Linked DNA regions of Mytilus edulis. The protein of the gene in region 2 purifies or fractionates together with the protein of the main gene of each other region. This does not show direct contact. Links are inferred from orthologs where the notes say so. Each region holds a gene or a part of one and is shown on either strand. Other genes may lie near its edges.

Region 1 (7,832 bases), on a different chromosome or scaffold from region 2:
GGCTATTTTTAAGCCGAAAAAGTAGGGACGGTAGGATAACTGGAACCACATGTACACATATATTTTTATTTGGCCTAACGAAAGAAAAATCTGTCTCAAACAATTGACTTCAGTACAACAATCACTTTTCCATAGTGGAGTTAGACATGTCAGATGTTTTCTATTATGATGTCAAAAGTTTAACAGGACAGACAATTCATGAGGAGGGGTAGGAGGGGTCCTGATCAGGATGATCCTGAAATCCCAGGCATAGAACACAAAATCCTGAGGTTCAGAATTAAAATAAATTATTAAATCCTGATATCCCGAAATTTGAAAAAAAGAATTTCTGGATCCTGAAAGGGTCAATCCCGAAATCCTGAGCTTAAAAACACCTGATCCTGGAGTCCCGATAAAGGTCCTATCCCCCCTCTATCATTCAAAATGCAAATAAATATTAAATTCTGAATTGATTGACAAGGGTCAAATGACTTTGAATAGGAGTCCATTTGTACTTCTCGGACTGCTAACTTTAAACAAATATGAACATGATGAAGGTGTTATACATGTACTATAGACGGAGTGTTGGTAGGAGGGGTCCTGATCCTGAAATCCCGGGTTTTAAAACATGAAATCCCCAGATCCCGAATTTAAATCCACATATCCCGAAATTCAAAATACACGAAATAAGAATTCCTGGACACCGAAAGGGTGAATCCTGACATCCTGAGCTTAAAAACACCAAATCTTGGAGTCCTGATAAAGGTCCTATCCCCCCTCTATCATGATTGACTATTAAGTTACATGTATATATGTAGGACTCTAAAGTGCGATGGTCACGCTAAAGTGCGATGGTCTACGCTAAAGTACGATGGTGTCTCACGCTAAAGTGCGTTGGTTGTTAGTTCGCTAAAGTATGATGGTGTATCACGCTAAAGTGTGATGGTCCAAAGGGTAAGATTCAAGGGGTTAAAACATCGAGGTTAAAAAAGTTTTGCAAAAGCTAGTATGCTAAGGTATAACATATGTGATAGGCTTCATAATTTTCCGGTAGGCTTAAGTGATTGTTTCTAAATAAACAAGTTCAACCAAGTAATAAATGCTATAAAGGTACTAATTTATGTGTCGCAAAATATTAAATTTCATGTAAAATGAATTTTTAACAATTTGGAGCGTATTCATGGTATTGAATATTTGGATAATTGGTATATATTGTCGTTCACACCAATGTTACAACCTTCCTTAGAGTCGTCATTGAAAAATTATAAATACAAAATTCGTTCATTGTCGGACAGTCAGGGGACTTACTTAAACAAGTGATTTTCTAAATCACTGATTCAAGTAACATTATTTCCATAAAGGTTGGAAGTTAGAGTTGTCTTTCTTTAACAATCACCTATTTAAGTAGTACAAATTAATCACTAGAAGAAGTGATTTAATTTTATTGTAGCCTTAAATATAAAATACTAATGATCCAGGGACTAATTATGTTTCTAAACTTATCAGAACCAACATCTGTGTTGTCTAGGATAACCAGGTCATTTCAGGTGATGACCTTGTACTGAATCTAGGATAATGACATAAAAATCACTTGTTTAAGTATCAGACCTCAATTTCCTTCCCAAAAATCACTTCTTTAAGTATCATTCTTTTAATAACCCCTACTAATTTCAACACCCCTGAACAGTGAAATTTTTATCGCGAACAGTAAAATTTTATTGCATAATCTGAAAGATGAAACCTTGAACTTCACAGGAAAAATACTCCCACTGCTGTGAAAAATCTTTTAAGAAAGTATCAGTTCATTAAATAAAGCCATTATTATAGCATTTTTTCAACTAAAATGGAATTTTCAGCTAAATGATAGCATCAAAGGCATAAACCTTGCTACTTAAAAGAAGCCAAAAGTTCATATTTTTTAATTTTACTAATTAAAAGATATTATTTAAACCTATATGTGTTTAAAATTTTGAAAAAACTAAAAAATCCCATTTTGTGACAAAACCTCGAATTTGCTACTCAAATAAGTGATTTAAAAATCACTTATTTCAGTAAGTCCCCTGACTGTCGGAATATGCAACAATAATTTTTCTATTTATAAGCTTTTAATCATGTCAAATGCGAGAAAAAGGCAATGTTCGCCTAGCTTTCTCCTTTTTCTTAGCGAGTACAAATACATGTTTTATTTTCCTACAATGTACAGTACAAACAAATGTTTAAGCAGAAAATTTATAATTCACACATAAAAACATGTATGTCTATTTTACCGTCGGACGTATCTTACATTAAAATCAACAGCATTTTAACGAGGATCAAAAGTAAACTGCCACATAAACAATGCTTCAAATGTATCCATTTGCTTCTAATAGAAGCAGGATAAGTATGCCTAGACTGTTTTGTATGTATTTAGTAAATTTGTTCACACAGAGTACAAGTCCTTCCAGCACTCGAAAAAAACATAAACATTGCGCTACAGCCGACAAAGAACGGTTAAGTTTAAATAAATTACTAGTATTAAAGTCATGGACATTTATTGTAAAAATTGTTAATAAAATATTCTGAATCTATCTTCCGACGTGTTCATTTTTGGTTTGTATAAACGACTGATAACGTCATAATCAAACTACGTTTCTTACGTCTATACTTTCGCGGACCATCGCACTTTAGCGAATACCATCGCACTTTAACGTGACCATCGCACTTTAACGTGACCATCGCACTTTAGCGTCCCCATCGCACTTTAGAGTCCTACATGTATATGTAACATGTATAATGGAAATACATGTAATTTGTAAAGTTTTATAAAAATTATACATGTATATGTACTATATTTATTATTTACCGTTATAAATGGTCTTATAAACTCTCTTGAACCGTTAATATCTGTAGGTGAAATTTTTGCAAATCCACCCAACATTCCATCAACTGTTGGAGGAATTGATTCCCAATGTTTCTTTGCATCACCGTAAAATTTCTCTGTTCCCTGATCCATGTTGTTCTGGAGACTGGTTTCCTGTGTATTGAATAGATATTTTGCTTTCTTTTAAAAATTGTGGAAACCAGTATAACATTTTAATCTCTATACTGATTATTCTCAAAATACCTATTAATAACTTGAAGTGTATTTATTTTTAACAAAATAGTTTTATAATAATGAAATTTATTCTATTTACTCGTAATTTTAGGTAATTCATATTATTATGTTTGGTTGAAGACTATATTAAACTGGTTTTCGAACTTGTTATACTATTTTCTGATTTCAAGAGATTAAGGAACCAGATTCATAAATATTTTGCCATGGATGTCCGAATAGAATAAAATTTCAGTAGTTTTGTGTTTAAAATCAAATGAGAATAGTCCAAAATGCAAGTCGAAGAGGCCAGATACTTAAAAAGGTTAGAGATTTTTAGACGATTTTTGTTATTTGATCTACATGTACACATACTTAAATATTGTCATATTTATTTAATATTATTTAATTTTTATGGATATTTTTTTTTGTCTAACGGTTAAGCATCGTTCATTCAGTACTCAGTACTGCCAGAAGTATGTCAAGATGACATTACTATTTGTGCTACATATATAGGTGCCAAAGAAAGATATCAAAATGTCCTGTCAAGAGGGTAAGAATGCCCTTTCCTGTCAGTGTCATGCTTCAAACAGTCATTTTCAGCTATGGTAAGCGTCATAATTGTGATTCGTCCGAGGTCTCAAATAATTATTGTAACTGTTATTTTAAGAAAAAGTAAATGTGTTTTCGTCAAAACCAGTCACTTTTTTATCATATAAAACATGTGTAAAAGGAATGCATTTTATCTAAATACTTACAATGTATGTTGAACAAATCTATCCCATCAAAGACAAACAAGAGATACATGATACTACAGATACAGTTAATTCTGCCTCATATCTTAACTTACATCTAGAAATTGACAATGAGGGTCGGTTGAAAACAAACTTTATGACAAAAGAGATGATTTCAGCTTCCTAATTGTGAACTTTCCATTTCTATGCAGCAAATTTCTGATGATTCAAGCAGCACCTGCATACAGAGAATATATATCCCAATTGATAGGTTATTCCCTGGCTTGTATTTCCTATCATGATTTTCTTGATAGAGGATTACTGCTCACAAATGAAGCTATAGCTATTAAACCAAGAGGACTTACTGAAATAAGTGATTTTTAAATCACTTATTAGAGTAGCAAATTCGAGGTTTTGTCACAAATTGGGATTTTGTAGTTTTTGTTTAAATTTTAAACGCATAGGATTTCTTTTGCTAAGGTCGTCAAATCACTGCCTGGATTCAAACTTTTTACTCTGATTCTAAAATCAAAAATATCTTAATTAGACTCTGTTTCATGCATGTTTTTCATGTTTTTGTTTATAAATAAGGCAGTTATTTTTCTCGTATGAATTGTTTTTCATTGTCATTGTGACCTATGGTTGGTAATTTCTGTGTCATTTTGGTCTCTTGTGGAGAGTTGTCTCATTGACAATCGTACCACATCTTCTTTTTTTATAGTTAGAGACAATATATTTAATTTTTATTGGCTTTACATAATGAACTGATACTTTCTTCAAAGATTTTTCACAGCAGTGGCAGTATTTTTCCTGTGAAGTTTAAGGTTTCATCTTTCAGATTATGTAATAAAATTCTACTGTTCGCGATAACAATTTCTCTGTTCAGGGGTGTTGAAATTAGTGGGGGTTATTAAAAGAATGATACTTAAAGAAGTGATTTTTGGGAAGGAAATTGAGGTCTGATACTTAAACAAGTGATTTTTATGTCATTATCCAAGATTCAGTACAAGGTCATCACCTGAAATGACCTGGTCATCCTAGACAACACAGATGTTGGTTCTGATAAGTTTAGAAACATAATTAGTACCTGGATCATTAGTATTCTATATTTAAAGCTACACTAATATTAAATCACTTCTTCCAGTGATTAATTTGTACTACTTAAATAGGTGATTATTAAAGAAAGACAACTCTAACTTCCAACCTTTAAATGGAAATAATGTTACTTGAATCAGTGATTTAGAAAATCACTTGTTTAAGTAAGTCACCTGACTGGTGAAGTTGAAATCATCAATTTATAAATTTTACGGATGCCATCACGAGTTGGTTGACCGTTATGAAATAACCATTTCATAGATGATATCAGATATGTTCCTTATGTCGTAACTACAATACCCTTCCCTTTTCACGACTGTGACCTACCAAATTAGACTATTTACATGATTTATAACTATTTATCATGTCTACATTTAAAACATCTCTATTCTGTAAACATGGTAGAAACATATAAATGTAACTACGTTTATTACTATTTTACATTGGGGGATGATCTCTGGTCCTGCTGGTGCTCTGGAAGGGTAATCAGATTCAGCTCCACAAGAACCACCTGTCATGTTGGTCAGGGAATTACTCAATACAAAGTTGTGATTGAAGACGTAGATTTTGAGAAAATGCATAAATGATGCTTTCAAACAGTCAAGTGTAATATATTTCATGTATATTAGAATCTAAGAAATTTAATAAATTTGAGAATGGAAATTTTAACATTTTTTGTTATTTCAGAAAAGTAAAATTCAGTAGTATTGATGTTCATCCCACAGAAAAAGCTTTGGTAGTTAATTATGAACTGGAGGCAACAATACTTGGAGAATTGGGAGATCCAATGTTAGGGGAGAGGAAGGAATGTCAGAAAATGTACGTTTATACTTTCTTGTGTACTTTCTAAATGCTGTATGGTCACTGCAATGAGAAAAACAAATAAATTTAGTTATAATCTTAAAAATCCTTCTCTTCATTGTCTGATTGTAACTTACTTTAATTCAGATTTCAGATTCTTAATTAGATTTATAAGTAATATTACATTAGTCATGTTAGTGTTGTCCATTAAAAATCATATAACATGTATACTATATATACATGATATACAAAACAATATTTCAAAGTTTCACATGCAATGACATGTATAATAATATAATTGTAACCATAATTTTAAGAATTGTTTAAATAAGTTAGTCATGTACATGTTAGTAGTACGGTTAGGAGAATTTTTGAATCATATAAAAATTTGTTAAACTCAACCATCATATATAAGTACCATCTGTTTTAAAGACCCATATCATTAATGGGTATGTATATGTTACAGGGAATTTGTGAAATCAGTGATTTTTACAAAATCACTGAAATTTCAGGGAATTTGTAAAATCACTGAACTGATTAGTGATTTTATAAAATCCCTGATTTTGACTAGTGATTTTACAAAATCCCTGAAATAATTAAAATCTTTTTTACAGATTCACTGATTAAATTCAGGGAATTTGTAAAATACATTCGTTTTTTTTTATTAAGAATTTCTGTGAAAAAAGACTACAACAGTAACACTCAATATGTATGAGGTTAATCTAGTCTTTATTTTAATATTAAGTGAGCGGTTTTCATGCACAAACCAACTGACAATGTGACATACTTTAGAACAATGGCTCAGGCACAAATGTCTTGAAATCAAGAGCAAACATGTATACCCACAAAAGTTACTTCAAATAACTGAGGTAAAATTAAAGTGCAACATATGGAACCAGGGAAAATATGATAAACATTTTGGAATATTTTGTCAATGAGCCACAGAAAGAAGACAAAACAAGCTCTTATCACTACCGTGTTTGAAAGGAAGTTACTGTTTACTATAGTTTTTCTGTATAATTTCTGTAGAAAATAAAACCAATTATATCAATTTTTTTAAATCAAATATAAAAACTGAACATTAGGTTGATTGCTGTCATTAAAGAAGAAAAACACATATATATGTAAGGTATAAGAAATTGAGTGGGTTCGGGTATGTGATCCAGTGGCAAATATTACATGAATATCAGATCAAGAGCATCTTATTGCTGCATGAAAATTGTTATATAAAAGCAAATAAGTGTTGTATTATTAATTTGCTGCCTACAAAATAACATTTATATTCACAAAATAATAATAATAAAAAAGACAACAGAAAATATTGGTAACCTTGTTGGTGACCTTCTGCTGTTGTTTTTTTTTTCTATGGTCGGGTTGTTGTCTCTTTGGCACATTCCCCATTTCCATTCTCAATTTTATTAATAATTCTTTGTTTTGTACTTGCATGTTTGTGAATAGGTTAATCTAACCAAGCAAAAATAAACAAAGTTTTACCTACTTTGGTCATTTATCAGACACATGTATTCTATCACAAAGTGGTATAACTTTGAAAAAGTTTCTAAAATTTCTCAACTCTTTTAATCCAAATAAAGTAAATATTTTGTTGATAATGAAGGTATGAAGTTCTTCAATGTGAAGATTTGAAAAAAATTTGTTAAAAACGATATTCATCAGATGAAGATGTTTTAAAAATATTATGTATGTCTTGAAGACATGTACAGCATAGTTAAAAAAAAGGCACATATCAATAGCTTATAGTGGTAGGGATGTCACCCAAACTTGTCTTGTAAAAATAAGCAAATTCAGAGCAGTCTAAATACCCGTTTAAATGCCTTTTAGCCATTATCATTATACACAAGTTCTAGCTCATAGTGTTTATTAAACATGTTAAACAAATATATTTCTAAATCATAAGTGATCATTCATTTGGTCTCTTTATATTAAGAAAAACACATTTCTTATAGCATGCTATACTTAATTGTAATCAGGGATTTTACAAAATCCCTAGCTCTATTTTCAGTGATTTTGTAAAATCCCTAACAATTTCAGGGATTTTACAAAATGCATGAAACAGAGTCTAATTAAGATATTTTTGATTTTAGAATCAGAGTAAAAAGTTTGAATCCAGGCAGTGATTTGACAACCTTAGCAAA
Region 2 (7,878 bases):
TTATTCAAACCATATAAGTCGGTATGAAACACCAAAACGGAATGATAATATACCGATTACGTTTTGTAGTTTACAAAATTCTGGACTGGTTCCTGTCAAACTACAACACTTTGGTTCGAATGTAGTGGAATACAAACAGAAACCAGTTAGTTTGTAAACTGGTTCCTGGCTGATTACTACACAATGCTCATGCATAATGATAACACAAGCACATTCCAGTTTGTATTGAAATTAGTAAATACGAAACCAAGCGCGGTAGGCAGAGAAATCAGGTCGGCAGTTATGGAACAATGACTGCGTCATTTTCCAAAAAATGAGGTTATGAAATTTTTGGGAAATGTTATGAAATGTTATCATAGATATAGGAAGATGTGGTGTGAGTGCCAATGAGACAACTCTCCATACAAATAACAATTTAAAAAGTAAACCATTATAGGTTAAAGTACGGCCTTCAACACGGAGCCTTAGCTCACACCGAACAACAAGCTATAAAGGGCCCCAAAATTACTAGTGTAAAACCATTCAAACGGGAAAACCAACGGTCTAATCTATATAAACAAAATGTCTGTTCTGTTTCTCAAGTTTCAAAACAGCTACAAAGAAAATACCTGCTACAGGACGACACCATTATTATCGACATAACTGACACAATACAATCAAATAATAACTGAATGTCACCAACATGTACTAGTTTTATTTTAAATTGCAATTATATTTTTACAGATATAAATGTTTAAAAATATGTTTGAACATGTTGAATATAATCATATATTTTTTTTAAATTATTTCCATTAATCATTATAAAATTAGATGTTTAAATATTAATTTTATTTAGAAAACAATTTCTTTTAGTCAGTGCTTGTGTTAAGAATAGCTGATTTCTTTATTCTGTTGTTATTCTTAATGAAATAAAAATGTTCGGAATAAAATAAGAGTTTTTTCCTATACACACTTAAACTTTTTTAGTCTTTGATAGTTTTAGTTTGATTTCAATTTCAATTTTTATTTTAAAATACACGAATTAAGCCATTTTAATTAAATAAATGATTTGCTCAAGATGACTTAGGGCTATTCCAGAAAAAAATGTAGGGGGTGGGGGGGGGGGGGGGTTGTTGGAAGGCAGTTTTTGTCAGCACACGCCACCCAGACAATTGTAACTGAGAATTATAGTGCATTATAGTGTGAAAAGTTGCTCTGATACCCATCACCCATGTATTATTAATACAATGTGCCTTCCAACCCCCACCCCCATACATTTTTTTCTGGAATAGCCCTTAATATTTTCCTTCTGTTATTTGTAATTTTATAAATAATATTTTTTTAGTCTAATCTTATTTCACAATCAAATTGTGTATACTCTGCTAAGTGCTAAAATAAATTAGCTAGGACTACCTTGAGAATATTAAATATGAATACCAGTTAAATAAAATATTTCAGAAGATTTTTTAGGTATTTCTAACAAATTCAAGCAAAATGTACAAGAGTCAAGACTTTCTTATAAGTTGCTATTAATTGATTAATAAGAAATTTAGTATAATTTGATGGGATCCTAATTAAACTAGAAAAGGAACGAGATGTTGCCCATGTGATATTGGGCACACTAGGGCTGCAGGTCATCAGAATAAAGTAAACTGACCATAGTTCATAAACTAGAACAAAACCATGATAACATAAAATTGATTTCAGGACACTTTACCAAAAAATAAGACTATTTGCAATCATTCCCAATGACATGAATTAGACAACTTTAAAGAGATAAAATTCATAGAAGTTATTGGTCACCATATTTAATAATACTAAAATTTAAAGGAACCTATGTGATATCCAGTTATGGCAGACAAAGATATATATGGTGTATTAATTAAAGCTGGGAACAGAATATATATATCTAAAAGGAAATAAATCTGATAGGATTTTCAGTGTAAAGTTGATCAAATCCCAAACTTCCTGCGACCTTGAGTATGTCGAGAGATTGATGGATTTTGAAAGCGTCTGACTGCAAAACCATTGAGAATGTTCAATAAATTAACCACATTATTACAAATATACAACAAATTAAAGTTTTATTTTCAAGTAGATATACAATGTATTTTGTCATATAAAATAAGCAGTATACATTTAAGTGTGATTTATCTGATGCAAAGATCTTTATATTGGTTTGTGAATTTCACAGTTACTGTGAAGCCATTGCACCATTTTTTATTACTCTGTTTGCATTCAGTTCCGTGATGAAATGAATTCGATTATATAAATGACAAATTTGAAGTGACAGAAATCAAGTTCAATACACTGGCCTCACTCATTACCTAGTTTGAATGGCATGTCTTGATATTACTAGATATTATTAAGATAATAGCCATTTCATATTTTACACATTTTCATTTACATATCGTGTTATTTTTTTACCCAAAAAAAATGACGCGACAATGAAATCCTCTATTATTAGATAGAGTCAAGTCCCATCAATATATATGTTCTTGATCTAAGGCACTAAATCATCAGATCATATATTTTCTGTTCATCATATCCTTAATGGAGATGTGACAATACATTTTAAATAGCGCAAAACCCCATGCATAATATGGTATAATTATTTATCTGACATTCCTAGCAAACGTAGTCTATCAACACAGCCACAGGACATATATGTCACTAGCGTATTCAACATGTTCAAAGGCTTATCCCACATATTGGTAGTAGAAAGTTTTGAGAAACATAGGACTTTTCATTCCATGGGTGGGTAATATTTCACCATGCCCATGGCCATGGTATCAAATGAATGAAAAAAGGGGTACTCCAGAAGTTTTACAAAGCCCAAAAACTCATATTACCTCAGCCTCAATTTCTGATATTCTTTCCAATATACCCATTTTGAAGTTTACTGTAAAGTCTCAATTAATAAAAGTGTTAAAAATGAGAAAATGTGTTGAACAAAACTGAGGGAAATGTGTTGTAATTTTTGGTTCGTTCGGAATGGTTGTCGATGGAAAAATCTAAAGATTTCCAAATGAAGTAAATGACCCGGAAGCAGTCTGTGAGACGACTTTTATCGAGAAAAAAATCTGGGAGACAGATTAGCGTGTGCATTTCAAATCAGAGGTGCTTTTGCAAGAAGGCATATTATTTATTCTCTCTTTTTATTCAATCAATAATTGCATTTACTGGTGAAATTTTGCAAAATTTGACCTTAGAAATGAAAATTAGGTCAATCTTGCTCTGCGCATGCAAGTATCCGGGCGATTTCCAACATTTTCCGATGTTGTACTGCAACCGTTCAAAAGTGGACTATGTATCATCTGTTTCAGCGTGTATTAGGGCGACATTATAGTTAACCAGACCATATTTAGATATACTTTAGTTTCCTATTATATAACATTTTCGTTGTGTATTGTCTTTCGTGTAAAACTTCACAAACGGGGCTCTGCCCTGCTGAAGGTAAGCCATCAATCAAAAATCGACAGAGATGAAAACAATGCACTTATACTCTTGTTCTCCCTCTTTGTGTAAAGTCAATCTTTTTGGAAATCTTGATTTGTTGTAATGACATGACTCTTACATCATTTTAATTGTTCCGTTTCGATTTATTTCAGATACTAAGAAATGTCTAAAATTGTTTACAAATTTAATTACTAAATTAGTATAAAATTGTGTTAGCATGGTAAGTGAAATATAATATTGGGTTACAGAAAACCTTTCGACTGTTTTCAAATGATGTCTTTCCAAGAAAGACCCAAGTATAGTTTTATCAGTAGTAAGTAACAATTTACCTTGCCAATCTGTCATGTCTGTTAAAGGCTATTTAACTTTTAGCTATTTATCCTCTGTAACGGAGTAAACAGCTTGGTGGTGTCATAGTAGAGTGTTAGCCTCGAGTGAGGGATGTTGTGAGTTGGAACCTCTGCCGGGTCAAACCAAACACTTTAAAATTGGTATTTGCTTCTTCTCCGCTAAGGACGCTGCATTTAAGAATAAGAGCAGAGACTGGTGGAAATAATGTGTCCTGGTTAAGTGACATTCCTTCAGAGCTAGCACGTTAAAAATCTGGCTCAATGTGTCGGTCTACATACAAAGCAGGGTAAATCTTAATATTACATTAACATGTTCTCTTATTAACATGTTCCCTTCCTAAATATGCTTATTATCATGCCGCTGGACGTTAAGCAGCAATCGATCGATCATCCTCATCATCATCAAGGAAATAATCTGATTACACTTTTAATAATCCCTTTGGAGTTCTGTGTAGTAAACAATTTTCTAATATGGCAAAAGCGAAATGTGTTGATGTAACAGGATATTTGGCAAGTCTGCCTGCCCTTATAAACCTTAATCCTTATTACATAAATGTAATACATTTGATAATGGAAACGTAATGTGTCAGAGACAACAACTCATCGAAAGAACAAAAAAACATCCCATGGCCACATTTGGTCTTCAACACAGACAAATGACAGATTAAAAATCCCAAACCTGGTTGGGGGCTTCAGTTATTTTTTTTCGCTTTTTACGTATGTACCTCAGCACAAACCTGTGTCACTTACGTTAGTATCAGCATTATATACAAGTCTTTTAAAACTTAAAACAGACCTGTACAAATTGAAGAATTTCATAGTTTACTGGTCTGTAGTTTATCACGATTATTTCCCATTGTATTTTGATGAATTTAGTTATAATGAAACAGGGATCTCCATGGATGAAAATTGAACGATGGAGGAACTTTCATATCACAAACCGTGTCTACGCTGTATAGTGTAGCGCGATCTGAAGTATTTTATCCCTCTATACAAGGAATGGTGAACATGCTAAATCATTGCTTATTTAAATTATATTTATTTGAATTTTCATTATAGAATTTGAAGTATCAATATTTTCATTTATTGCCGTTTTTAACCATTCAAATGCCAAGTCTTCGTGGTCCCCCTTTAGTCGAGAATGACCAAAAGCTGTCATGAAGGTCCCCATGTAGATTTCTTGTATTTTTGGTAATTGTTATGGGGGTTAAAAATCAAATGATGTGGAGCTTATTTTTCATGGACAGTTGTCATATTCAGAAATTCAGAACCCATTACCGGTATGGCTGATTTGCAGCAACAACAAAACGATTCGTACGGGTTATGTAAAAGGTTAAAGAGATTTGTAAAGCAAACATTGACAAATGAAAACGTTTTTAATGACTTTATCTGTCAAATTGATGCTGTGCAACATGCATCTTTCGAGTCTGAATAGAAACCGGAAATGCGGATGTATCAATTTGATTGTAATATACGAAATGAATTCGGAATTACGATACGATATTTCTTTACAGGAAATATTTAAGTTTTTACTTTTAAACTTTTAAAGTAATTCTAAATTATCGTTACAGCAGTACTAGTATTCAAGTTATTTGCAATGAAATAATATTTACTGTTTTGCGTCTTATTTTGTACTTCTAATTAAAAAAAGGGGGATGCTGATTACGTAAGTCAAAATAAAGCACGTGTTCGACTTGTTAAACTGTTTTCTTTGTAACTGGATTATTAATTTTTTTATTTAATCTAAATTATCATAATCATTTGCTAAAACTTAGTTGATTAATTCGACAAATGGATCGTCTTTCCTCAGATAGTATTCTCCTGTGTGGTTTGTTGATCTACCTGTACAAGCTCAGGTACAAGTGATTAGCGATCTTAATCCGGATATCCCTCAGGCGTTAGAACTGTATTGGATTATAACATAAAAAGCCTAAGGGTTATGCAATTACATGCATTTGATTATAATTGAAAAAAAAATGGCGTCGGGCTGCAAAAAACGATGAAGTTTTTAACGATGGCGGAAGACAATGTAACGATGGCGCAAGACAATTTAACGATGGCGCAAGTCATTTGACGATGGCGCAAGACATTTGAACGATGGCGGGGTGCCATCGTTAAACAGGCCATGGAGATCCCTGATGAAACCAGTATCAGTTATTCATGTGCTTATTCTTTGGTTGTCTATGTTGTGTTTTTTCATGTTTTGCCATGGATTCATCAATTTAAAGATTAAAGGTGGTATTGTGGCCAAGAAAATGGCTATCCACAAGAGTTTTAAATAATGTGGATGTAAGCAATTATAGGCAACTGTCATGACTGTACCACCTTCAATAATGAAAAAAAACATATATATTATAGGGTATAGTCAGCTTTTAAAGGCCCTACTGACTAACAATTTTGTTTGAATGCCTCTTTGGTATCTTTTGCTTTCTTTTTCAAGACATACATTTTGTAACCAGTCTTTGAATATAGCATGCTAGACTCCATGTCAAAAGCATTATGATCATGATGATGTAAAGCATTAACTAAATGCAAACTTTCATAGTAGGTTGATAGTTTGGTCATGGAGGGCTAATCAGTTGACTTTAATATTTAATTGATTTCCTGGTGTAACATTAGACATTTTCTGTATGAATAAATTTTTTTGTGGAGAGATATGTGACTGTAAAATGTTTATTATTTCAGAATGGAAAAAGAATTTAATTCTGATGACAGTGGCAGGAATACCCCAAGAGAGGTTGTTCTGACAAGGTCTGATACACCTGGACCTACACCAGCATATATCTACAGTAGGGTAAGTTGTTAGAGGAACATCTGAGGTCTAACATATGGTAATCTTTGACCATTTGTGAAAGAAACAATTCAGAAGAGTCGCAGTACAGAACTGCCAGACCAATTTGCATCAAAACACAATACATTGTATTTACTCTTTAGTATTACAATATGCAAAACAATGTAAAAGAAAAACTATTGCAGTCTTGACAAGAAACTTGGTCAAATAAGAGGGTATTTGGAAACATCATCAGGGTCAAGGTTCCGTAGTCATACTTCATGTACTTCACACATTGGCTGATAATTTAACAAAAATGTGTTCTAGGAAACTCATTTTTAGGATGAAAACAGAAGGGCATGATAGTTGTTGATAGATATATATGAAGATGTGGTATGAGACAACTGTCCATCCAACATGTCCAAGTCACAATTTATAAAAGCAAACCATTGTAGATCAAGGTACGGTCTTCAACACAGACACTTGGCTCACATCGAACAGCAAGCTATAAATGGTCCCCTAAAATTACTATTGTAAAAGCATATCATATAAAAACCTGAAATCCTTCAATATCCAGTTTGAAACCAGTATATTAATGAAATTTAACATGCCATACTTTTTTTGATGTTCATTTATAATCTATTTGTTTATGTTTGTATACGATATATAACTATATTTTCTTATATTTCTATTGTCAAGTCTAAAAGTTACTTCAAATTGTTAACACCAACAATGTTCCTATTTATACTTTACTGGTACATGTTTTTGAAAACAAAATGATACATTGTAATTGGTTGTATCTTGATTTTACAGGACCAGTTGTATGAGTTTGCCAACAGTAAAACAGCAAAGAAAAGACCAGTTTGTTTGTCTACTGATTATGATAAGTATGCAGTATTTACTTCTAATGTTAGAGCTATTCTAAATCCATTTATGTGGAGGACCCATATCCAGTAATAAAGAGCCTCCAACACCAATTTTAAATACAACGACCCCTAGTTACATTTTAATATTAAATGTATTGACCCCTATTTTAAAATCTTAAACAATGAGCCTTACCATGAAGTCATTGAACATGTTAAAAAATGCATTGATGATCTATATATGGGTTTTGAAGCAAAAGGTAGTTTCACTTCTGCAATTAAAAAAATTAAAAATAAATCTCAGTTTAGAAGCTTGATATGAAAATAATTTTGTAGTTACACATGTTAAAATACAATAGTTGTTTGCATGCAGAATCTCTGCTTTTACAACTGAGGAGATAACTCTGTAAAAATCAGCTGTATTTTTTAATCACTTTCTATTGTTTATTGAAATATT

The links. The genes of interacting proteins can lie anywhere in the genome.
Region 1: the proteins of GTP-binding protein 128up-like (region 2) and N-terminal Xaa-Pro-Lys N-methyltransferase 1-A-like purify together in Homo sapiens (affinity purification with mass spectrometry; 3 studies listed by BioGRID and IntAct, counting the BioPlex papers as one, with this or other methods). This does not show direct contact. The link is inferred for Mytilus edulis from reciprocal best matches to the Homo sapiens genes DRG1 and NTMT1.

Annotation. Positions count from the first base shown.
Region 1 is NC_092345.1:945,791-953,622, forward strand, and holds the start of N-terminal Xaa-Pro-Lys N-methyltransferase 1-A-like, read right to left. Parts: upstream 3,014-7,832; 5' UTR 2,972-3,013; coding exon 2,822-2,971; intron 1-2,821. Other genes in the region: kinesin-associated protein 3-like, read left to right, coding at 3,343-3,374, 5,566-5,697, 7,782-7,832. UniProt on the Homo sapiens protein: Distributive alpha-N-methyltransferase that methylates the N-terminus of target proteins containing the N-terminal motif [Ala/Gly/Pro/Ser]-Pro-Lys when the initiator Met is cleaved.
Region 2 is NC_092349.1:11,807,639-11,815,516, forward strand, and holds the start of GTP-binding protein 128up-like, read right to left. Parts: upstream 3,017-7,878; 5' UTR 2,871-3,016; coding exon 2,832-2,870; intron 1-2,831. Other genes in the region: eukaryotic translation initiation factor 4E transporter-like, read left to right, coding at 3,017-3,099, 6,474-6,582, 7,372-7,445. UniProt on the Homo sapiens protein: Catalyzes the conversion of GTP to GDP through hydrolysis of the gamma-phosphate bond in GTP. Appears to have an intrinsic GTPase activity that is stimulated by ZC3H15/DFRP1 binding likely by increasing the affinity for the potassium ions.